Mus musculus: one gene and its partners. The protein of the gene in region 4 purifies or fractionates together with the protein of the main gene of each other region. This does not show direct contact. Links are inferred from orthologs where the notes say so. Each region holds a gene or a part of one and is shown on either strand. Other genes may lie near its edges.

The links.
Region 1: the proteins of Rhod (region 4) and Diaph2 purify together in Homo sapiens (co-immunoprecipitation; 3 studies listed by BioGRID and IntAct, with this or other methods). This does not show direct contact. The link is inferred for Mus musculus from reciprocal best matches to the Homo sapiens genes RHOD and DIAPH2.
Region 2: the proteins of Rhod (region 4) and Daam1 purify together in Homo sapiens (affinity purification with mass spectrometry; 3 studies listed by BioGRID and IntAct, counting the BioPlex papers as one, with this or other methods). This does not show direct contact. The link is inferred for Mus musculus from reciprocal best matches to the Homo sapiens genes RHOD and DAAM1.
Region 3: the proteins of Rhod (region 4) and Plxnb2 purify together in Homo sapiens (affinity purification with mass spectrometry; 3 studies listed by BioGRID and IntAct, counting the BioPlex papers as one, with this or other methods). This does not show direct contact. The link is inferred for Mus musculus from reciprocal best matches to the Homo sapiens genes RHOD and PLXNB2.

Annotation. Positions count from the first base shown.
Region 1 is NC_000086.7:129,747,131-129,753,250, reverse strand, and holds the start of Diaph2 (protein diaphanous homolog 2), read right to left. Parts: upstream 3,510-6,120; 5' UTR 3,276-3,509; coding exon 3,135-3,275; intron 1-3,134. UniProt on the Homo sapiens protein: Could be involved in oogenesis. Involved in the regulation of endosome dynamics.
Region 2 is NC_000078.6:71,829,111-71,835,209, reverse strand, and holds the start of Daam1 (disheveled-associated activator of morphogenesis 1), read right to left. Parts: upstream 4,143-6,099; 5' UTR 3,879-4,142; intron 1-3,878. UniProt on the Homo sapiens protein: Binds to disheveled (Dvl) and Rho, and mediates Wnt-induced Dvl-Rho complex formation. May play a role as a scaffolding protein to recruit Rho-GDP and Rho-GEF, thereby enhancing Rho-GTP formation. Can direct nucleation and elongation of new actin filaments.
Region 3 is NC_000081.6:89,155,734-89,161,187, forward strand, and holds part of Plxnb2 (plexin-B2 precursor), read right to left. Parts: intron 5,380-5,454; coding exon 5,152-5,379; intron 5,051-5,151; coding exon 4,874-5,050; intron 4,775-4,873; coding exon 4,635-4,774; intron 4,529-4,634; coding exon 4,428-4,528; intron 4,270-4,427; coding exon 4,040-4,269; intron 3,910-4,039; coding exon 3,728-3,909; intron 3,561-3,727; coding exon 3,494-3,560; intron 3,373-3,493; coding exon 3,226-3,372; intron 3,051-3,225; coding exon 2,894-3,050; intron 2,793-2,893; coding exon 2,692-2,792; intron 2,588-2,691; coding exon 2,503-2,587; intron 2,323-2,502; coding exon 2,168-2,322; intron 2,063-2,167; coding exon 1,902-2,062; intron 1,807-1,901; coding exon 1,659-1,806; intron 1,518-1,658; coding exon 1,453-1,517; intron 1,336-1,452; coding exon 1,260-1,335; intron 840-1,259; coding exon 765-839; intron 653-764; coding exon 548-652; 3' UTR 1-547.
Region 4 is NC_000085.6:4,436,069-4,442,123, forward strand, and holds the start of Rhod (rho-related GTP-binding protein RhoD), read right to left. Parts: upstream 3,376-6,055; 5' UTR 3,284-3,375; coding exon 3,152-3,283; intron 1-3,151. UniProt on the Homo sapiens protein: Involved in endosome dynamics. May coordinate membrane transport with the function of the cytoskeleton. Involved in the internalization and trafficking of activated tyrosine kinase receptors such as PDGFRB.

The DNA of each region.
Region 1 (6,120 bases), on a different chromosome or scaffold from region 4:
GCATGCTACAGTCTGGGCCTAACCAGAAAGTTATATAAAATCAGAAACTCTACTACCATATATTATTCAAAATGTACTGAGTCAATGAATGAACTGCTTCCCTTAATGGATGGATGGATGGATGGATGGATGGATGGATGGATGGATGGATGGATGGGTGGATGGGTGGGTGGGTGGAGATGTGGGGGTTTCATTATGAGGATACATATCTGAAAAACTGAAGTGAGTTTTATTACACTTAGACTCACACAACCTTAAACAGAAATCATTAAAGTTCTGATAGGTCAATCTGAAAAAAGTTTTCACTGTTAGGCATCAAAAATGCGGGACTATAACTAGCCTACAAAAATTTTACCTACAAAAATACAACCTCAATCCCCATTTTTCCAAATCCATAAGCAAATAAATGAACACAGTTGCACCAGTCTTATAGTTTAAGAAACCCTTAGACTACAGTGATTGAACTAATTGTTTTAAGGAGTTTCCCTCAATTCTCCAGCTGTCTTTTCCTTTGCTGTCTTTTGAACTGCAATGATTCTTTTTTCTTTCTGCAAGTCATGGATACTTCTAAGAAACTAACAAAAGGAAGAAAAGCCAGAAAAATAAACATATACCCCTTTTTTTTATTTAAGGAGTTTTGAGCCCCTAATAATACAATAACCCAGACAAATAACTTATATTGCCATAAGGCTGTTTTATAATCACATACAACTCCTTTACACACATTCAAAATTTGGAATTATCACAGTGAAGCATAATACATAGCATTAATATTTTTAAAATTTAGTCTAAGGGGGCTGGAGAGATGGCTCAGTGGTTAAGAGACTGCTCTTCCAGAGGTCCTGAGTTCAATTCCCAGCAACCATATGGTGGGTCACAATCATCTGTAATGGGATACAATGCCACCTTCTGGTGTGTCTGAAGACAGTGACAGTGTACTCACATACATCAAATAAATAAATAAATAAATAAATAAATAAATAAATAAATAAATCTTCTAAAAGGTCTTATCATACTTTCAAAACTTTAAGAATCCCAAGTTTACCAAAACTTGTTATTTGATCAAACTCTTTGCATTAAAATGAGTCATATTCAATTCCTGTTTTTATTAGCTGTGACACATTGGCTTCAGGAAATCACATAAAGCTCAAAAGTTATAGATGAGTAGAAAAAAAGAAACTCATGTTGGTATTGCGCTCTGGGTTCCAGTACTTGATTTGTTGTATCAAGCTGGGATAACTACAGAACAGTGAAGTTAGTTAGCTAGGAACTGAAAGTGATACTATCTCATAATCACCTAGTTACCTTGTCAAATCAACTAAAACATAAAAGATGAAATAGGACGAATAGCCAAAGAGTAAATGTTATTACTACTAGAGATAAATGCTTTTCCTTTACTATATTGAAAATTGGGAGATTCTTGCTAAATGTATAAAACTATTTATGGAAACTATTCCTTAACTTTTATTTTTAAACTTTTTACTACAGTTTATACTGGGCTAAGTAAGGGGAGAGGGAAAACAGAAGTAGGCTCACTCTCTTACCACAAACTAGTACATTTCAAAGTCACATTATCAAAACTTTTGACTGCTTGGCTGAGGCAGTGACTCGTGCACTCAGGAGACCCACGGAGGAGGCTCTTTGTGAGTTCAAGGTCAGCCTGGTCTACATAGCATGGTCCTGAACAGCCAGGACTTCATAGAGATACCCTATCTCAAAAAGAAAAGAAACAAATTGAAATACATTCAACTCGAACAATAAACTCAGAACTGTTTTTCTTGAATCCAGGATGGTGTGAGCCCTCATCACTGTGATAAATATTGCAGACAAGTCAAAAGAACTGTGACTCAGTTTCTTTATTTGTAAGTGCTTGGGGTAATAGGACACATTAGGGAAGTGATTTCTAGATTTGTCTCAGGTTTTGATGAGATTTTAAAGTTGAAAGATTACTTTAGCCCAAGTCCGTTCGCACATAATGGAAGATTTCATATGTCCTAATATTTGAGCCCTGTTTTCCCGTATGGACGGTCCATAATAGGAAAGTAAACCGGAGCCAGAAGAGAAGTGCAAGTCCAGACCAAGTGGCCAGATGCCACAGGAAATGGTTTGAGTTGCATGTCACAGTCTCACCCTCTCTTCTACTATAATCAAGTTGTTGTTTACAACTGAAATGTAGACGAGCGACATGGACTTGTACTTGGGATGTGGAGTAGGATTCTACTGTTCAAAAGGCTCAGGAGAGGCTCAAAAGTTTGCCTGCTGAATCTCTGCAGGAAACTCCTTTCTCCTCATGCCACTGAAATTAGAAAGTTTACCAAAAGAGGAACCCTTTTAACTGATGAGTTGAAGAAACCCCAGTATTTCCCAACCCAATACCAGGCCCCATCGATTTCTGGCCTCAGCAGGAAATGAGCTACTACTGGACCACACTGTCAGGACTGTGAGACAAGTATGGGGAACATAACTGCTTCTGAGCATTCTCAACCAAGTGGAAATGCTGTGCTGGGATGCAGGGGGGGGGGGGGGGTTGGCGGGGTTACCCAGCCTCCAACTCCTCCCACGCTCCCCCCAAGTCCCAGACTTCCAAAGAAATGTTTCTTGGGTGAGCACATGGGGGGTGGGGGGAACAAACGCACGCAGGCGCCTCTTTCTCCGATTTCTGGCAAAGTCGAAGGAGCTAGGAACCTATGTGGTGCTTGTCTTGATTTCCTTAGCTATGAGTGGGCTCCGATGCGCTCGAAACGGAGAGGAGGGAGGCTCCCCTGCCCGGGACCCCAAGTGTTAAGGGACCAAACAGCAACTGACAAGAGGTGGGAGGGAAATGGAATCCCGCAAAGAAGGTTCGCGCCCACAAGTTAGACAAACAGCCCTACCCCAGTACTCTAGGACGCGACGCAGGGTGTCCCCAAGTTGGGGTGGGGCCTTTCTCCTCCGCAAGCTGACCCGAGAGAGAAGGCCGGATAAAGTGGAGAAGGGGTGCTCTTCCGCCCCCACGCCGTCTCCGTTCCCTGAGTTGTGCGGCGAGATCACGGCTGCTGCCGGGAGGGGAGGGCCGGCTCCCAGGCGTGTTCCTGGGCAGGACGATCCGGGGATCTCGGGTCTCCGAGACCAGCGGGGCTTGCGGGAAGACTTACCAGTTTGGGTTTGTTTCTCGTCTCCTCTTCGTTGGCGGCCCGGTTCCCCGCGCCTCGCTTGTTGCTCCGGCCCCCGCCGTGTTCCTCGCCGCCACCGCCGCCGCCTCCGGCTCCCGACGCCGCCGCCCCGAGCTCCTCCATCTTTCTCTGGCCCTGTCACCTGCCGCCCAGAAACCCCAAGTCTCCTCAAGGGCAAACACCCCTCGGAGCGCTAAGAATGTCCCGCGTCCACGGACAGAGAGGGTTGCCCGCCAAGCGCCGCTCCCAGGCCACCGGGTCTCCCCAAGCCCAGGCAACCCCGACGCAAACCACGCCGGTGCCACCACTCAGCGCTGGGGCAAGCCCTGCCCCTAAGCAGCTGCAATCACCGCGGTCGCCTCCGCCCTCGGGGCGGCGTTTAGGGTGGAGGAAAAGTAGGTGCCTATCTCTTTAAGACGGCCTCGACACACGTGATTCATCAAAGTGCCCGCTGTCGGTCGCCCGGGCGGGCTCCGAAAGCCGCTTCCTACTCGTGGAGCTGAGCCGCCTGGGCTAAGACTGGAGCCTACCAGAGGACATTCTACTGTGGTTAAGCACTGATTTCACTTCCTAGTTGTCTAGCACCAAAAGGAAGGGAACTAGTCTAGACGGGTAAAAAGAGAGAGAGAGAGAGAGAGAGAGAGAGAGAGAGAGAGAGAGAGAGAGAGAGAGAGAGAGAGAGAACCCATTTTAGAGATAGGGAAACTGAGTGAGGAGGATTCTTGTGAGCATTTTACTGGCTAGGCCACAAGTATCAGCTTTCACTAGTGTTGGTCACCCCTACCCTCCCTAGGCAGAAGGCCCTCAGGGGATGTGCTCTTGCTTCATTCTGTGGGCAGGTTTAATTAGCAAGGCAACTGGCAAAGTATAAGAAAACCACCATAGGGAGTTCTGATTAATTGCCTAGACAGATTGTATGGGCCAAAGTGGAAAGAGTGGGTGCCTCTTGCCACAATTGCCTTGTGGCCCAAAAAAATACAATCATTGCTTCCTTTGCAGGCTGTTGGTTAAGGCCAACCTACCCCTACCATAGATAGCTTTTTAACCAAAGCACCTATTTAGAATTTACTATTGGACTGAATCCTATCTTCGATTTCCCAAGCTAGTTTAGGTTTAAGGTTATTGCAAAGAGTAGTACATAAGATTTTATGTGTTGAAACTTTGTTTAAAAGATAAATCTCTAGACAACTGATGTTTTTGTGTAATACCAGGGAGCAGCGTATACTCTTCTCTCAAGGCACCGCACCTAATATTTCATCCTCAGAAGGTAGATTTTCCCATTGTTTCCAAAGGAACCTTACAAAGGCGGGGTTTCAACAAACCAACAAACCATCACAGAATTAGAGACCAAGTGGTGGGGAAGCCACTTGTATTAGAAACTTAAACACCAAGTCTATAACCATGTCTATAACCCTACTAGTGACGAAGATAACTTTGGGCTGTGAGACCATTTGGCCTTCTCCAATTCAATTTGAAGTTATGCTGAAACAAACTTTTATCAGAATGAATGCAGTATGATAAATTTGGCCATCATGTGAGTGCAATGACATAAATAACTTGAATAATAGAGCAAAAGAATTGTAGATATCTCAAAAGCGCTCAAGTCTCAGCTTTTGTCTTTATCATTAAGTTTCTTTTTAATCCTGTGGACAGGCTGTCTACGTTACCAAAGTAGCCAATTACCCAAGGAAGGCAGCAGAGGAGTTCATGCTCTCAATACAAAGGACAGAAGCTCCGAGATACCTTTGCTTTCTTGAAGATCATACTTAACTACAAATTAGATGTGTATTTTCAATTTGACGCATTCCGCACATACACAACTGAATCTAAATTTCATTCCACCTAAAAAAGAGTAAAAACACAATAGGTTTTACAGAAAGATACTGAATGGTATTCCAACACCTACACGTACTTCCTGTAGAAGAAATGTGGGTATAGGTCAAAGTGAGGGTCTTGGAGTTGGAAGGCTAAAGCTGACCTCATGTCTGTCCCTTAGGCTATTGGAAGAAACAGGCTGAAAGAACTGCATCATGGGACAAAAACTACGTGAACAGGAAACTCCCAGAGTACCTATGTCAGAAGCTCAAGAGCGCCTTCCCTCAGAAGACAAGGTTTGAGCTGTTAAAGTTCTGCTGAAAGCCTTGAAGGACCAACGAAGTACTACAAATGTAGCTTATTGTCATAGAGTTCTCCAACTATTGGGGAAGATATTTTTTTTAATGTATTGACCAATTTCAAAACAGGCACAGAAAGCATTCTAGGCAGGCAAAGGGACTGAAGATAGATTTTTGCAGAAACCCTATAATTTAAGAAAACAAAGGTGGGGGATTGTTGCAAGGCAATGCAGCAGAGCATACTGGCCCACTGGGCAAGCAGAGGCAGGCAGATCTCTATTTGAGGCCAGCCTAGTCTGCATAGCAAGGTCCAGGCTAGCCAAGGTTACATAGTGAGACATTGTCTCAAAAATAAATAAATAAATATATATATATATATACATATACATATGAAACAAGATCAATACCTACCAATTGTGGCCATCTCAGACCCTGGCTTAAGGCTTGCTGTTTATTTTTCAGCATTTTGCTCTAGCTAATGTGAAAAGCAAATTGTTAAGCAAATGTACAAACAGAATCACGAATCAGGGTCATTGGTCTCTCTTGGAAACTAACACACAAGGAAGAAAACAGCAGCCTCAGGCAAGAGTATTTTGTCCCTTAACCTAACATTTCACCAACTGCTGTCTTAGGGCTGATCTCACTTCACCTGCATTCCTGTGATTTTATTTTCCTTCTTGTCACACACACGTAGGCTTGTGGGGTGAAAAAAAAATGTCTTTTCTCTGGTGCTGAAGAAAGGAAGATATACCCATCAGCTAGACTATTAAAAGTATACATTAGACCCATTGGTTCCCCAGCCTCTTGCATCAAGTCCCACATCAGCTATTGGAGGAAAGAAAAGTATCTTTTTT
Region 2 (6,099 bases), on a different chromosome or scaffold from region 4:
GAGATCAACTGGCATCTCACCTTTAACTGAGCTCATTTCAGCAGGGATACTAAGGAGGTGAAGACATGCTCTCTCAGCAACCTGGACCACAATATACATAAAGGACAATACACTCACTAAGTAACTCCAAAATTGATTAACTCCACCTCAGCCTGTTCTGCCAACCAGACTTAGAAGCCACAAGCAGAAACAAAAGACCACTGAAATGAAGCCTATGCAATCCCTTCAGCTCCTTAAAAAGGACGGACGTTGTGAGTATTTAGCTTTGAAATTATCCAGGACGTTTTCTTCCATTACTGAGTTAACACCAGAACAAGTGACAGTAATTCACAATCCTTATCCCAAGGGGGTTGGGGGCGAGGGGGGCAGGGAAGCACTCTCATTTCAACTGTAGTGCCCTGTAGAGAAAACAAGTTTGGCAACCTCAGCTGGCAAAGTTTTGTTTTGTTTTTTTCCTGAACTAATAGAAATAGACTTAAGATTTAAAAACACGGAATAGAGGATGCTAGGGAAGACCCCCCTCCCCCCAGTGGCAAGCTCTGTGGGTCATTTTCTGAACGGAACACCTGAAGCTCTCAGTGATACTGAGCTTCGTCCCTCCCATCCAGCTGCAACTTTGAAATGTTTTCACAGAAGAACCTGAGATCCTCAAGCCAAAACCATACTCTAAATATTTACAAAATGAAACGGTTTTAGTCTTAACTGGGTTTTGTTTTTAAGCACCTTATTTGTTCTAGGAGGCCAATGACTAACACTAGGAGCAGTGTTTTAAACAAAGTAGCTCTATCCACAAGCACACTCTCAACACTCAGAACTATCCACCAAGAGGAGAAAGCCAGGATTCCAGTTCCACTCAAGGACGTGACCCTTCTCTATCACCTCTCTCAAGATGGTTCCAGTTTTCCAGACCCACAGGACGTGACCACCGCATACCAGCTTTACCAACACCACACTAATGTCCTCTCCTAGACTTGGCCTGGACCGGCAGATCCTGTTTATAGAATCGCTCTGCCCCAGATGACAGACTGCGGTCTCCCAGCAACTCTAGGAGCCACTGGTGGCTTGACAAAAGCGGCTATCTTTGCCTTTGTCTTTCTCCTTAGTTTCCTGCCATCTGCCTTCTGGGAAAATTATCTAGGCCAAGGAAAGTACTACTAATAAAAGTATCTCTTTAAGTGTACTAAGAAATTATAACAAGAAAAACAATAACCTATGTAGGTGAATTAGTTCCAAAATTAGTTATAAAATAACTATATATATATCATTTTTATATTCATGGAAAGAACTGTAGCAAGGTGTAGGTACTAATCAAAAAAGGGGGGATTATTACAACAAATTACATAACTGTCAGGAGAAAAAATACAAACCTTGGATTTCTGATCCTCCTTAATACCCATTTAACACATGCTTATTAAAAGACCTGTTCCAAATTCTGAAATGGTTAAGAAGACAAAGACCTTGCCTTCAAAAAGCTTAGCACCAAGAAGCATTGACAAGCAAGCTAATAAACGAAGGACATTTTGCTGTCATTATAAATCCGAGAACAAAAATAAATACATAAACAAGAGAGTGCTAACTTGTGCTAGTGCTGCCTCACAGTGATGTAACTAAGCTTAAGACGGTGAGCATTATCCACTTGGCACAACAACCAAGTATTAACCTGCACATGAATGCACTTGCATAGACACTCCTATGCACACCATCCCCCATTTCTGAGAGATACCACACTTGGAAGAGAATGCAAACAGGAGATGAAAAACAAACATCTTAGTATAATTTAAATGCCTTTTGTTCAGTTAAGTTACAAATAAACTACATTCATTGTGAATCTGCAAACCATAAAATCTAAGCAACTAATTATGACTAAAACATAAAAGTCCAGATGCTGGGATAATAGGAGTATCAAGTGTATTATAAATTTTAAAATACTACTATAGCTGTCCTGTCCATTTATGTAACAGTTACCCCAAGGATCTTGGTTTGGGGGCCAGCAACACAAGTTGAATGCTACAATGTCAGAGCTGAATTTAAGCCTTGTGTTATTTGGAGGAGGAGTCATTTTCCAAGTCTCAAAACTTTAAACCTAAAACCAACGTTAGGAATTCTCTGAACTCCCCTGTCTACATTATCAATGAGATGACAGGTGCTCCCAGAGGTAACTGTTAGCCCACAGCAGGACATCACATAAAATGCTGGCACAGGACCTAGGGCTCCTGTTTTCAGCCTCCAGAGTTCCACTTTAAGGATCTTCAGCTGGAGTTTAGATTTCATAAAAATTGCAATGTCTCTGTTCTCCATACCTCAACTTCAATTATTAATTGCTCTGTCATTTACAGGTAATGGTACTTCAGGTAATTGCTGACCAGGGAGCTGTGTAGGCCTGGGAAGAGTGACCTTGTTAAGTAAATTGCCTCCAGCACTATTAACTATGATAATGATGGAAAGATACAGTTCACTCGTTGGAGGAAAAACATCTTCCAAATTTAGTTTACCTTAGAACAAAAGCCCCAGACAATTCGCTTTGAGATGATGTATAGGCACATGGGAGGGGACAGGTCCAAAAATATGGTGTCCAAGCTATGTAGGAAAGAATATGGGGGAGTCCCAGAGCTGCTAGGAGGGTGAGGAAGAGGGAGCAGCTGGGCCCAGGGCAAACATTTGACCACACCCCCCCGACCACACCCTCCCAGCTGCCCGCAGAGCCACAACGAATTGAAACAGCAGTGCGAGCTGTTAAGATTCCAAAGGCAGAAGTCGCCATGGCAACCGGATTCGTCTTGCAGGCAAACTATGCTTCAATTCACTAGGTCCGGCTCAAATCTCAAGAAACTACCAATTCAATGGGGGCAAAACGGTCACGGGCAGCATTTGCTCTGGATGCTCTCCCAACATTGACGGTGGAGGAGAGAGACTGAGAGGAGGAATCTATTTCTGAGCACAGTAAAACATTTTATGGGGAGGGGACAGAACGTCCCAAACCTTGATTGTAAGCAACGTGCAAAGGACCGTAGAAGGGTTTGATGAATGTGAGTAAATGAACGAATGGAGCTGACGCAAAAAGGGAAAAGAAAAGCCAGAAGACTTTCGAGTTGTCCAGCCGGGCCGGGTCCGGTCGGGTCGGGCCCGGCCTCGCCTCGCCCTGCTCTCCTCTCTAGTCAGAAGACAAGCCAATCCCAAACAGCTGGTTTGGGCACCAGTTAGATAAACCCGATTATCCAGCCCTCCTGCCCCCACAGCGAACCTTATCATTAGGTTATCCACCACCCCATCACCACCATGGTTCTAAGGAGAGCGTTTAGCCCACGCCCAGGTGCCCTTTGCAGGGCTCCATTTGGCAGAGCCAAGACTGCGATACGCCCCTCGAAGCAGGACGCGGGGAACCCCATCCAGTCCCCCGGAGACGCAGCCTCCCCGCGCCGCAGCTAGCCGCCGGCTCGCGGCCTCCGCAATGCCAGGTTTCCTTCTTCTCTCTGCACACAGTAAACTCGGAGACTGCCTGGATTAGTCAGCCCCTCCGTTTTGAGTATGACTTGACCCGAAGGTGATAGGAATGGTAGGGGAATCGCGGTCACGGCCATGCCCACGGATCTTACAGAGCCAGCGGCCCAGGAGCGCCGCCCGCTGCCGCAGCTCCCTCAGCCCTGGCCCCGGGGAGCCTGTGGCCGGGAAGAAGAGAGATGTACCCGGCCGGCTCCACGGCCACCGAGCGCCTCGGAAAGAAAGAAGGGAGGGACCCCATCCTCGGGGATGCCTTCCTTCAGGCTCGCCTCGCTCCGAGCCGTGCTGCAGCCATTTTCCAAAGCCTAGATTGGCAGCTCGTAGCTGTCTCGGTCCTGTTCCCACCCAAACCCAACCTGAAGGACGAGTTTAATATTTACCTACTGGCCCCGGAGCTCCGGGAAGCAGCAGGAGGGCGCGCCGCGACAGCGCGAAGAACCAGCACGCCCACCCCGCGCCACGGTGCGGTGCCGCTAATGAATGAGTGCGGCGGGCGAGCCGAGGAGTCCCCTCACCTGAGCAGCCGCTGCATGCTGGAAAGGCCGCTCTGCGCTCCCGGTACAATGGGATCCGGTTAAACAGTTCCCTTCACAGCCGCTCGTAGGTTACCAACTCGCAGGTGACATCACCCTCGTCTCCTCTGATAGGACACAAGGTGGCACCCACTGCGCATGGACGCTTTGACTCGCCTTTAGGATTCTGGATGTTGTAGTCCTAGTCCTACAGACAGAGCCGAAACAGTCTCTCCATCCTCACGCTCAGGAACTACATTTACCGAGGTGCATCTCTGTCCCTCTGTGCCAGCCCCCTCCCCGCCCCCCAGACCCGCCCCCTCCCCGCCCTCCAGTTTAGCAGAACCAGTGGTGGTCAGTCAGAAGCCTAGGGGCATAATGTTTGGGGAAGAGGGCGAGGCACCCAGCGGCCGTGCCCTTTGACTTGACCTCTGATCCTGCCAGCGGGTAGGCTGCAGGACCAAGGGGCGTCCTGAACTCGCGCACACCCGCCAGGCACTTCTGTTCGGTTGGGCTCTCCTGCCCCCATCTGGGAAGGGTCCATAAAAGCCTTTCTCTTCCTTCCCTGCTCAAAACCACTAATTCATAGGACTCCAGGGGTTCTGGGTTGAATACTGAATCAGTATTTCCTCACATCCCCAAGGATCAAACAACGCCAGCCGCGGAAAAAAAGGAATCTCCTTGAACCACACTTTGGGTTAGTTCACCTTCCTCCTCTCTTTCCTTTTTTCCCTTTTAAACCAAGACCGAGTCGAGTGGTCAAGAAGAAAGCTGGGGACAACTTAGTTGGCTAACCTGAGAAAAACCGGCGGCTGTCACTAATGAAAATGCTGTGTAATAGAAGACAGAGACAGTCACCACAATCCTGCGTCTGAAAGCCTGCTGCTGTGGAGATAAAACTATCGAACAGCCATGCTTTTGTTCATCCCTTTAGGGACTTCCCGCTCTGGTGGCTCTCAGCTCCTCCGAAGATAACATGCATATCTCAAAGTTTTAGTTAATTACTCATATATAAAATTTTAAAATCCACAACACTCCCTCCACCCTTGTTCCCCGCACATTTCCTTTCAAAAATATAAAAATTTTAAGACCTTTAAGCAAACAGTACCCTTCAAGGATTGCCCCCGATCTTCAGACACTTTTATGTGTATTCAAGTGTTAGCAAAGGGTGTGAAGTGAAATTCTGACCCTTCTGGAAGATTTTGGTTTTAATACATAAAAGTTTTCGGTTTCATGATCTCATTCAATAACACCAAAGGTGAGAAACTTAAATAGAGGGAACAAATGTCCAAGTGTGTGTGTGTGTGTTTGGGGGTGGGGGGGGCTGTATTCATTCCACTCTCAATGGCACTGCTGTGATCAGCTCACACGCCCTCTTCCACCAGCAAAATTAAGATTTTGCTTCTCAGGAAATGAAGACTGACAATTAAAATTTCCAACTACTCTTCACCTAATTGCTGGTGGAATATCACATCACTACTTATCTTCCCTTTTCTGCTTCAAACACTAAGGCTCAAGTGAAATACGTTCTTGGAACTAGAGGAGCATCTCAGAGGAGAGGGAAAATGATGGGTTTTTTTGTTTGTTTGTTTGTTTGTTTGTTTGATTTTTGGGTTTTTTTTTTTTTTGTGTGTGTGAAAGAGGAGGTTGCTGTTGGATTCTGATCGTCTTTTGACAAGCCTATTCTGTACAGAGCAGAACCGTTTGTCTCCACAGAAGCAGGATATAACTTTGTTGCTCTTCTGATCTATTCTATTTCAAATATCTGAAGTGGAACCTAGACAACACAATTGTTCCTTTGGCCATCAGAACAAGGGTACAAGCGGTGATGCTCCAACTAATGGGTAGGCTTAATGTATTGTTCAATTGGCTGTGGGAAAATATTCAGAAAGAAACCCAACCTCACATGGTTCTAAATGTTCCCCCAATCTTATAACTGTGGAAAGCTTTTAGGTGGAAACATAATCAGTGAGCTTGGATTTTACTGAGTCAATAAACTGAACTCGGAGCCTCTCTATCAGGCAAGGTTTGTCCTTAGAGATGAAAGCATGCTGTTAAGGCACTCAGAGAAATAATTTTATAGAAGAAA
Region 3 (5,454 bases), on a different chromosome or scaffold from region 4:
TCTGACGTCCAGCTTGACCTTAGAGGTGGAGCCAGTGATGACCCTCAAGCCCACCTGGAGTGCCTGCGCCCCACGAGGAGGGCCAGGTGAGGTCAGGAAGGCATTGTACCGCTTTTTCTTCTCCTTCCGTCTGGCAGACAGTTACAGTCCAGGAACCGGCTGTGGGAGCTACAGGCCAAACCCAGGGCATCTGAGGCGGCTGGGCTGCTGGTGCGTGGGAAGGGGAGGCCATGCCTCCACCGCCCCCAGTGGCCCAGTGTGGCTTTGTAAGGCACATTTGCGAATTGCTCAGGAGACAACACAGAGAACACCCGATGCTGGTGCCATTGGAAGGAGCTGGTGCTGACTCGGGCGCCCGGGCAGTATTGCTCAGGAGAAAGACGCTACAGTCTACAAGAGGTGGGTTCACCACACCCACTCCAGATGCCTTGGGTGCATCCTCTACTGGAGAGAGAGAAGAGCCCGGCTACAGCCAGTGCCATCTCAGGCCAACGGGCTGCCCAAGGCCATGGTACCACACACCTGCATCCTGAGGCGGCATTGACGGTCAGAGGTCTGTAACCTTATTCTCAAGCGCAGCAGCAATCTGCTGTAGGCGGAAGGCCAGTTGCATCTTTTGGGCTGCAGGGTCCTCCTCCAGAGCATTGATGATCTGGTGGGGTTGGGGGTGAGGTAGAGATGGACACAGAGGAAACCATGTCAGATCATGGGGGGTACATGCGGGCACGCTGTCCTGCATCCCGCCACAGGGACCTGGAGCATACCTCATCATAGTACTTCTGTGTGTATTGGTAGAGCTGGTGTAGGGCCACGAGTGTGTTCAGGGAGTCTGTGTGAGCCTAGGAATGACAGTATTACGCAGTGTGAGGAGAGTATAGGAGCCCCAAGGCCAGCCCCACAGAACAGCAAGCTGCAATGTGTTGGCCGTGCGGCACCATGACAGATACATCAGTAAGAGGACCACATCCTGGAAAGGCCACAGGCCAAGCCCACGCACGTGGCAGCGTGTGCTTAACAGCAGCCAGTATGGCGGGCACCAGGGTTCTAAGCACCTCAGTGGCTACATATCAGCCTCTACATACAGGTATGTTTGCTATCTCCTCAAGACTCAGTTATGGTCAAGGCAGCTTGCCTGTCCCACTTGCCACGCCCATTCAGCTACCCTCCACCCCTCTTGCTGTAGCATCTGTACTCCCGTGCCTGGCTCAGCAGTGGGCAATAGCACATGCGCCCTTGCTCTTGAGCTCTGTGGCCCTTACCCGGGAAATCTCTGCCAAGTGCGTATTCATGTCCTGGTCGCTGACCTGCACCATCTGTCTGATGCCCTTGTAGTAGCTGCAGAGGGAGAGGGGTGTGGATGGAGACAGGAGGAGGTGAGTGCATGGGAAAGAGGGGGTTGCTGGACCCTGGGGTCTCTTAGGGATTCCCCAGCCCCTCCTCCACATCACTCACTCCTCCACCATCTTCTTGTAGGTAGAGATCTCCTTAGCATACAACAGCTTGTTGCTGGGAGAGTCCTGCGGAAGACAAAAGCTTTTGACACTGGGCTAGCCTTGACTACTCAGTTGTCACAGAGCACTATCGAGGCTCCACCCCTTCCTGGACGGTCGGTCCTGTCCAGGGGCCACTGTCGCCTATGAGCACAGAGGCTTACTCACTCGGCTCAGCTTGTGCTCCGTGCGAGTACAGGCGTCCATGAAGGTCTGTGCGATGACTGACAGGGAGGCGTCCACCACTTCGTGGACGTGGACATCAAAGATGAAATGAGGGTTCTTCAGGATGTTCACCCAGAACCGAAGTGGTAAACTGCAGCGGGGAGACGGTCAAGGGAGTTGAGGGGGGGGTGCTGGGCTGTGGCCTTGGGGCAGACAGGGCGGAGGCAGGGCAGGCAGAAGCCTCACCTGTTGGTTTTCCAGATATGGATGGTATCCTCATCTCGGATGTCATGCTTCTCTGCCTGCTCGTCCAAGAAATCGAAGAAGTACTTGACGGCGGGTGGCACCGCATGCCCAGGCGCCAGCACGCTTTGGAAGAAGTTGTCCACAAACTGCTGCAGTGTGCCCTATGGAGGACAGCGGCTTGATGTGACCCCCCCCCCCCCGGGACACACTGGAGGCAATAGCGTAAAGGGATGCGTTCCTGCGACTGAGTGTTATCTATTTATTACCTTGACGGAGAGTAGCCGCGTCAGGTAGATCTCTGTGATGGCCTTAGTCCGCTCTTTCTCCTTCATGCTGCCGCGCTTGGACTTGCCTTCATCTACCTCATCTGTTGGCCGCACCAAGTGCCACACGCGGTTTTCCTCTTCCAGAAGGGCATGGCCTGTGGGGGTGGGGGTGAGGAGCAGGCAGCTGAGGGACCTAGTCCCAGTTCAGGTTGGGTGTGGCCTGAAGTTTGGTATGCAGGGTCTTGGGGTCCACTAGGGGGCAGCAGAGGGAGGGGAGGTCTCCACAGACCTTTAGGGACTAGAAGAACAAGATAAGAAAGACAGCATAGACTTACGCTCCCCTGGCAAGTCCTGTTGGCTGTCTTCTGGCTGCTGGGAGACTCCCACCTTAGACAGGATGAGGGTGGCTCCATCCCGGACCTGAGGACAGAGTCATGAGGGAGGGTTATGTTCCCACTGGGGAGTTCAGCACTATCCCCCTTGCTTAGGGTACCTCCCCCTGCTTAAGGGACCTCGGCACTCACGTTGTAGTGCATCAGGGTGTTGATGCGCTTCCACCGGCCCTCCCGCTGGGAGGTAAGGTCCAAGTCAGACAGAATCTGGGCCGTGGACCCAGGACGCCATTCTGCAGAAGGGCATAGCTCAGTTTCTGGAACCCGGGGCCATGCTCTGCTCATTCCCAGGCAGAGCTGGGCACACGGGGCCTCACGAACAAGTGGAACTCACCAAGCACCACACTGTCTGGCTTGGGCCAGCAGGAGCAGGGCTGAGTACGGTACACTTGGTCGATGATCTTCTCTTTGACCTGAGAGATGGTGTCACAGTTGAGGACCTTAACCGGGATGGCATCGATCCCTTCATCCTGAACAATCACGCTCACGGTCTGCGAGGGAACACAGGATGGGAAGGGCCAGCTGAGGAGGACCCTCGTGACCGTACCTCAGCATCGCAGAAACCCTTCCCAGGACAGTTTGGCTTCGCTCTGCGAAGTTCAGATGTGGAGTCCAGGTTCCTGGCTCTGCCTTCCTCTCTGCAGCCTCTGGCTCTGGGGGACTTACCAGAGGCGCATACTCAACATCGTCCCCGAGCAGGCCTGTGTCATTGAGGGTGTACTTGGCCTTCTTCTGCACAGCATCCACGGGCCCCTTTTCCACCTGGTGTTTGATGGCCTTGAAGAGCTTGTAGAGAGGCTCCCCTGCACTATCCTGGAGCGAGGGGGCTGTGTGAGTGGGAGGCACGGGGCTGGACCTCCTTCAAGGCACTTAGGCAAGCTTCGGGAGGGATGCCACCGATTCACCCACCCCTAGCTCTAGGGTCTGGGCTCACCTTGAGGTACTGGTACAGACAGATGGACATCCAGTTGGACAGCATCCTCTCCACCACTGTCTCAGACCTGAGGGTAAACAGATGCCTCATTCTCCAAGGCCCGGCTGGCTCCAGGAGCCCACGGCAATGCACATGTGCGCAAAGGGTGCTATGGCCCTTGTGAGTGGGCGTGCCATCCTGAATGGTTAGGTAGCATCCCCCCCACCCCCACCCCCACCCGCCATTCCCACGAACCTGCGCAGCATTAGCTTGGGGTTCTTGGCCACCACATACTGCTCCATGAGCTCCAGGAAGAGCGTGCGCATGATGTCCGTGTAGTACTCCAGCTTCCCGTGCAGGGCCACAGTCAGCAGTGATGCAAAGTAGACCTTGGCCCGAGCTGAGAACTCACGCTGATTCTCCAGGGTGTGGATGAACTGCGGGGCAGCCAGGGAGTGCACACTTGAGCACCTGGGCTGCAACCTTGCCCCACCCCTTACCTTAACCTTATCTTTCTGCCCCCCTCCTCTGTATCCCCCTCCCCGCCCCTGAGCCCCCTCTGCTCACATTGATGAGGAAGGACTTGCTATTAAGCAGGTTGGAGAACTGGTAGAGGGCTTGCTCCACAATGGGCCGCCGTGACTCAGGGATGTCTAGCTTGCCGGTGATCATCACATCCTTGTCACCATCCTTGGATGGCAGGAAGAATACGCGGTCGGTGTAGGTCTTGTAGTCCAGCGTGGGGATGCCTGCCTCATGCACGTCATTCGTCTGGTCCTCCATCTCGATCATCAGGTCTGAGAAGGGGATGCAAGCCTGGGTGAGGCGACCCCTGGCCACCTACTCCTGCTGCTCTTAACCCGGGCCCTCCTGCAGTTTCTGGCCCTAAGGGGTGGCCTAGAAGATCCAGGGATACTCTGTGGCTCCACCTGCCGGGGGAGGGGGACAGCCCCACCTGTGAATTCCTTCTTGCAGCGGTCACGCACGCTCTCCTCCAAGCCCTCGAGCTGGGATTTGATCTTCTCGTACTCGCGCTCGGCCTGCTGGCTCTTCCTCCTGTGGGGCATTGAACGGCTCTCTGGTATCAGTCAGCTATGACGGTCAGAAGCGCTGATGCTGATGCGGGAGGGATGAGGGGAGCCTTACCGGGGGCAGGACTCACCAGTAGCAGTAGATGGAGACCACGATGATAAACACCATGGGTACCATGACCAGAGGCAGGATGAGACTGAGCGGCACGTCACTCGCACGCGTGTCGTACTCCACTCGGCCTAGCACCCACTCTCGGGAGCCAAACTTCACCTGTGTGGAAGCTAGGGCTCAGCGCAGGCAGGTGTGGGCGGCGGCGGCTTCTCCTGAGAGGCTCCCCAGGCCCTCCACAGCCCTCCCGCTCTCACGCACAATGAACTCAGGTAGGTTGTGTGCCGTGTCTCGCTTCTGCCGCCGCTTGGGTGGAGGCTGCACCTCTGGGGGCTCGCAGTACAGGTCCGTCTCGGTCAGCGTCTTCATAATGCAACGCTCAGCACCCACAAATGCCTCTGCCTCCTCCAGAGTCATGGCTTTGTTCAGATTGGTTCCCTGGAGGGGGGATGGGTGACGGAGGAATGATCAGCGTGATCAGCGTGAGCCCCTGCCCCGCCCGACCCGGGACCCCATGCCAGCCGTAGGGGTCTTCTTACCCGGGCGTGGATGAGCTTGTTGACCTGCTTTTTGACGCCACCCGTGAAGTTCTCAAAGGTGGGGTCTGCCACATACTCAAAGACTCCGGCTTCGGTCCTGAGCGGGGCACAGTGACCGTCCATCCGTATCAGCACGGTGAGGTTGTAAGCCTCGGGCTCTTCGGGGACAGCAGGAGACAAGAAGACGACCTTGGTGTCGTTGTAGAACACGTACTCCATGCCCTCGACCTGTGGAAAGGGTCCCAAAACTTGATGAAGATCTTGCTCCTCCCTCCTGCTTCCCAGCTGCCCCTGTCCCCATTA
Region 4 (6,055 bases):
CCAGTTGAGGGCCTACAACAAAGATCTTGGGCGACAAATGCCTGTGAACACCCCAGCCCACTGCTCTCTAAACTCTTGACTCCCACAACATCAGTAACATCAAGAGGCTCTGAGGGAACTGGGCTAGGCAGAAGTCGAGCTGGCGCTGTATGTGTCTTCAGGAGCCACTACAGCCACCTGCCTCTTCTGAGGTCACCAGTTCTTGCTCCCGACATCAGCCAGACCTGAGATGAGCTAGCTGGAAGGGGCTGTGTTGGCTTCGTCACTGAGCAGTGTCACTGCCCTGCCTCTTACTTTGGAATGTGACTTTATACCTTTTGTGGTGTTCTTTGCTCCCACCCTCTAGGCAGAAGTGCCTAATCTTATCTGTTGTGTTCAGCAAGCGACTCAAGGCCTGGCTTGGGTTGACCCAGGACAGAGATGACTCAGACCTGGTCCTGCCCTCCTGAGGTCACAGAGAGATGACCATGACAGAATGAGGGCAGGGTTCCCCAGGTAGGACACCTGTGGAAACTGGAGCAGTCTGAGGACTGCAGATTTGAATAGTTCTGCAGGTGGATGCTCTCTGCCACCTCCTGTCCCTGTCTTGTAAGCCATTCAGAATGGCTCTGTTCTCAGTGCCATCTGAGACTCCTTGGGGAAAAAGGTCTCTCTGTCCCATAAGCTCTATTTTGCCCCTTCAGCCGTGAACGTGACGTTGGAGGTTAGCCAGTGAAGATCAGAGGCTTCTCCAACCACTCTCTCCCCTGCCCTTTGCTGCAGGCAGAAAGCCTGGAAGACAGGAACCCATGCAGTGGACGTGGCTTCAGAGGTCATGGAGTGCCCTGGGCGAAGAGGCGGAGGTGGGGGGTGGGGTGGGGGGGTGCGGGCAAGGTGACCTGAGTGCCAGATCAAAGCTACCCTCATGTTCTCCTCAAAAGGCTCTGCCTGCAGTTGCACTTGGGAGGTGGAGGCAAGGAGGTTAGAAGGCAATCTTGGGGCTGGTGAGATGGCTCAGGGGTTAAGAGCACTGACTGCTCTTCCAAAGGTCTTAAGTTCAATTCCCAGCAACCTCATGGTGGCTCACAACTATCTGTAATGGGACCCGATGCTTTCTTTGGTGTATCTGAAGACAGCTGCAATGTACCCATATAAATAAAATAAATAAATCATATATATATATGCATCTTTGGCTACATATCGAATCTGAGGTCATCCTGGCCTACCCAAGACCGAGCAAGACAAACCAGCCGGACAGCTGCAGCACACACCGGTAATCCCAGGCAGAGACAGGCAAATCTCTGTGTTTGAGGCCAGCCTGGTCTATAGAATGAATTCCAGAACAGCTAGGGCTACACACACAGAGAAACCCTGTTTCTAATAGTGGTATTTCATACTTGAAGTCACAGCACGATAGAAGCAGAGGCAGGAGGATCATTGATTTGACATGAATGTAGACTACATACAAAGACTTTGTCTCAAAAAGAAAACTAACTAACTAAAACATAAAACATAATTAAAAGAGCCCTCTCTCATGCCAGGGATTTCCTAGACAAAGGAAGACTAAGGACAAGGTTGGTCCACCCCCCTGGTGACCACTCTGGTCCTCTGCCACTCACTCCAGTGCGTCCTGTAAAACATATATGGTTCATGAGCCTCTTAAGTGGTGGCACACACCTTTAATCCCAGCACTCATGAGGCAGAGGTCAGCATGGTCTACAGAGTAAGTTCTAGGGCAGCCAGGACTATACAGAGAAACCTTGTGAACACACACACACACACACACACACACACACACACAAAACCCCATAAACAGTTCATGGACTTTTCTGCCTAGTGTCTAGGATGCCTGCCCCAGGCCAGTGTTGCAGAGCCTTCCCCACCCCCTCCACCTTTAGGTGCCTCCTCTGATCTCCTGGTTCCCACGTTGGTTGGGTTCCCATGGGCAGTACCTAAAGACCTGGAAAATATCTCCTATACTTAAAAACAAAAAAACTGTAACTGGTCAAAGAAGGTGACGTCAGCTTTGCAAACCACAAAACCAAAGGCTGTGAGATGGGTATGGTGGTGCATACACGTGATCTGAGCAATCCTTGGGCCGAGAGACAGGAGGACTGAGCGTACAAGGCCTCCACAGTAATATCCTGTCTCAAAAACAAAACAGGAACCACTAAAGTAAAACGACAAAAATACAACCCCCCCCCCCAAAAAAAAACCCAACAACCATAAAAACCACTGGTATTCAGAGTAGCAAGCAAGACTGTGCCCTATTTGCCAGGTCAGCTTCTCTGGCTCCTTCCATCAAATTACCCACTTCTGCACAATCCCAGAGGCCAGAAGGACGTGGGGACAGGAAAAGAAGGCTTGCTGCTGAAGGCAAACCCACAAACACACAGGACCCCCACTCCTCGTGGAGGCACAGAAGGAGGGCTCAGCCACTGTTCTGGTCATGGGGTCCTTGAGGACTCACAGTGACAAGCCCAGAGAGCCAGGATGCAACCAGGTACCGCACCGAGCCGGCCATCAGCCTTCAGCCTCACTGTCCCAGCTTTCTTCCCCCTATCAGGTTGCTCTGAGAAACTGAGGCTTGGTTAGAGTCGAAGTATGGCATAATCAGACTCTTCAGAGAAGGGTCGGTGTTCCAGTTTTCCTCTCTAGGGTAAAGCATGGGGATTTGCACCATAGTGGATGGAGAAGAGGTGATGTCGCCCGACGAACATCACTTACTAACTTTCAGCAACTAACTTTCAGCACTCTTTTCTATACTACGCTCGGGTAGGGGCTTTCAGTCCTATCATGTAGTTAACCTTCAGAGAGGTTAAGGGACTTGCCCAAAGGCACACAGCTGTAAGAGGCAAAGGCTTGATTTTACTGCTGCCAGTCGAGCTCCAAAGTCCTCACACTCTCGTCGCCAAGTAGTGACAACAACTGCTCTCGTAGGATTTGCTATTTCCCTAGGTGGCCCAATTCAGTCCCTGTGACACCCCTCCCCCTAAGTGCTATTAGTCCCACTTTGCTTCTACTGGCTAAAACTGAAAAACTCTGCCTTCGACCCCAGGCCCTGCTGAGATTTCCCCCTAGGAGGCTAGAGCTGGGTTCTTTCGAGGCAGCTCTCAGCAGACCCGCACATGGGGGGTGTCCCCAGCGCAGGGCCAAGGATGAGGGCACTCACCTCTGGGAAGGCCCCTTTGGCGAAGACCATCATCAGTGACGTCTTCCCGCAGCCCCCGTCGCCCACCAGGACCACCTTGACCGAGTGCCCGCTCTGCGGCGCCTCTTCTCCCGCAACCTGGGACGCGTTCATCCCTGGCTGGCGGACGGCGGTGCGCGGAGCAGCAGGCGGTACGCGGCGGGCTGGCTGCGGCGGGCGCGGGGCTGGCCCGGCGGGACAGGAATGTGGAAGGGGCGGGGCGGCGGGAGGAAGTGGGAGCGGGGCGGCCGGGACAGGAGGCGGCCCGGGGGGCGGGGGACACCCAGCTCAGGTGAGAAGCCCGGGACAAGATGGGGGTGCGGCGCCCGCCCAAGGGTGGACGCTCCTGGGGTCCGGTCTCCTGGCGTCCTGTCTAGACACTCAAGAAAGACTTTTGCAGCACCTACTGCGTGCAGTCGCTGAGGCCGCAGGGGTGAGCGGAGACCTACGCCTCCAGAGGGCACCCAGGGCTCGTGGGAGAGTAGACAAGTACTTGGAGAGAGGCTGGGGACAGGGAAGGAGGAAGCACCTGGACTATCTGCCATGGGTGGGAGGTTATTTTTATGAATGAATGGGTGGGTGAATGAATGAATGAATGAATGAATGAATATGAGTTTCTGCTATTTGCGGACCTCCTCCAAATGTTGTAGGCCAGATGAGAAAGGAGTGGCCCGGGCATGCCCTTGTGGGTCACTGCAGGACCTCTTCAGCCAGCTCCAGGAAGTTTCAATGAAGGTGGAATTACCACGCATCTCACCCAGGCAGCCAGTGAGCTAAGGAAAACTATGGAACCGTCCATCTGTAGAGCTCAGAGCTAGCTCTGGCACATGGCAGATGTCATGAATGGTTCATATTATGGTATATAGTATGATGGCCTTTTAGTTTTATTTTTTACGCGTGTGGGCGTTTTATCTGCATGTATAGACATAGACATGCATCCTGGTGTCCTCTGCACTCGGAAACCCTGGAACTAGAGTTACAGACATTATGAGCCACTATGTGGGTGAACCGGGATCCTCTGGAAGAGCAGCCAATGTTCTTAACCTCTGGGCCATCTCTCCAGCTCTTTGGTATAATGTTTAATCAATGCAGATGATCCTTAGTTTCTTAGAGTCTGGGGACCCTGCACTGTTCCGATCAAAACCTCGACTCTGAGAAGCCTAGAATAGGAGGTGTCAGGACAGGAGAAAGGAAAAAGGGGCTCTTCGAAGAGACTGGAGCAAGGTAGCCACGCCCCCACTTCTTAGCGACAGGACAGAGGGCGGGACTTGGCTGAGGAGCTAGTATCTGGAGGGTGGAGCACTTTGGATTTCAGGAATAAATCTTACTTTTCTCTAAATCTCCGCAACCTTCTTTGTGATCAGATTTTTCTTTTTAACTTTTGGTGAGCATAAGTGGGCTGGAAATGTAGCCGCGCTGCCCGGATGCTTAACCAGCACTCATGAAAGCCTCGGTCCCATTCCCAGTTCCACATAAACCGGGCTTGGAGATCCATGCTTCTAATTCCAATACTGATGAGGTGAAGCCAGGAAAATCTGAAGCTCAATGTCAGCTTGGCTGTTCAGTGAGTTCAAGGCCAGCATGGATTAGATATTCTGTCTAAAAAAGAGGGGAAAAAGGTCTCGCCTGTCTCCCCAGACCTCAGACTGGGTGTTTAATGGAAGCTAAGTGGACCATGGTCAGAAGTCTTTGGGTTTCACCTCCATGACTTCATCTCCCATTGTATTCAAAGTCAGGCAGTGAAGAGGACCTTCAGCCCTATTTGATCCTCACTGTGTCTCAAGGAGGCAGTTTCCAGTTTCCCTCTGGGCCAGAGGTCAGCTGTATGGAAGGAGCCTCCCAGAAGCCTCCCCAGCTCCACCTTTTGGATGCCCCTTTCCCGAAACCGCCACAGGGCTGGGCGGGACTTGGCATGAAGCTGGGTGTGTGGCTGAACAGGATGCCCAGAAGGAGTGGTGAGGAGCCCCCCCCCCCCCAGTCAGCTGTCAGCCTTGTCATCCCTACCTGTCATAAGGCCAGTCTGGGAGGCAGGTGGAGCTAGACCAAGGGTGGAGGAAGCTGAGAGTCAGGCGGAGGTGGCCTTGGTTGCTATAGGGATAATCACTCTAATGACACACTTGACAACTGTCACACGTTATAGTTTCTTTGTATACCTCATAATAACAACACATACTAATGGGTGATAGCTGCTATTCAGGGACTGTCCACCAGGAGGCAGGATTTGCTAGTTCCATTTTGCAGAGAAGGAAACTGGTGACTTCTTAAGGGGGACCCTACGGCTGTCCCCAAATCTCAGTTCTTGTACATTATTGCTGTCAGCTCTCACACTGTGAAGTAGGTTTCTACTTCTTGTTTTGGAGACTTGGGGATTGAACCCCAGAGGGAGGCAGCTGCTTGGATTGGGCCAGCCTCATCAACATTCTATGTTCAGGCTCCTGGGAAAAGCGTATCAGTCAGTCACTGACCCATGGCCATCTGCCCTGGTAGCCAGGAATTTCCCCAAATCTGACATTGCTGGACTCTGGACTACAATGTTTTCCTGACGTTTATTTTTGGAGTGGGGTGGGGTGGCCACACAGTTGGCCTCACTGGGGTGCTTGCTGTTTGCTGTTTTTCTGTTTACTGTGGCTGCTGCTGACTTCCGGCCGTGAGTGACTCAGCCCCCCTTCAGGCCCCATCAATTCCAAGCCGAGAATCCTTTATGAACCCCGTGTAGCATGTGACTGCCCTGGAGGCCTCAGAGTGGCCGGGGAGGTGGGGCCAGCAACGGTCTGGAATGTTGTTATTGGTGCTGCAGGTCTCCAGCAGAGCCATGACCCCCTCAGAGCAGGGGCCACAGCTGACCCATTTCTGTACCCCAGACTATCTCAGACTGGCGCCAGCTGT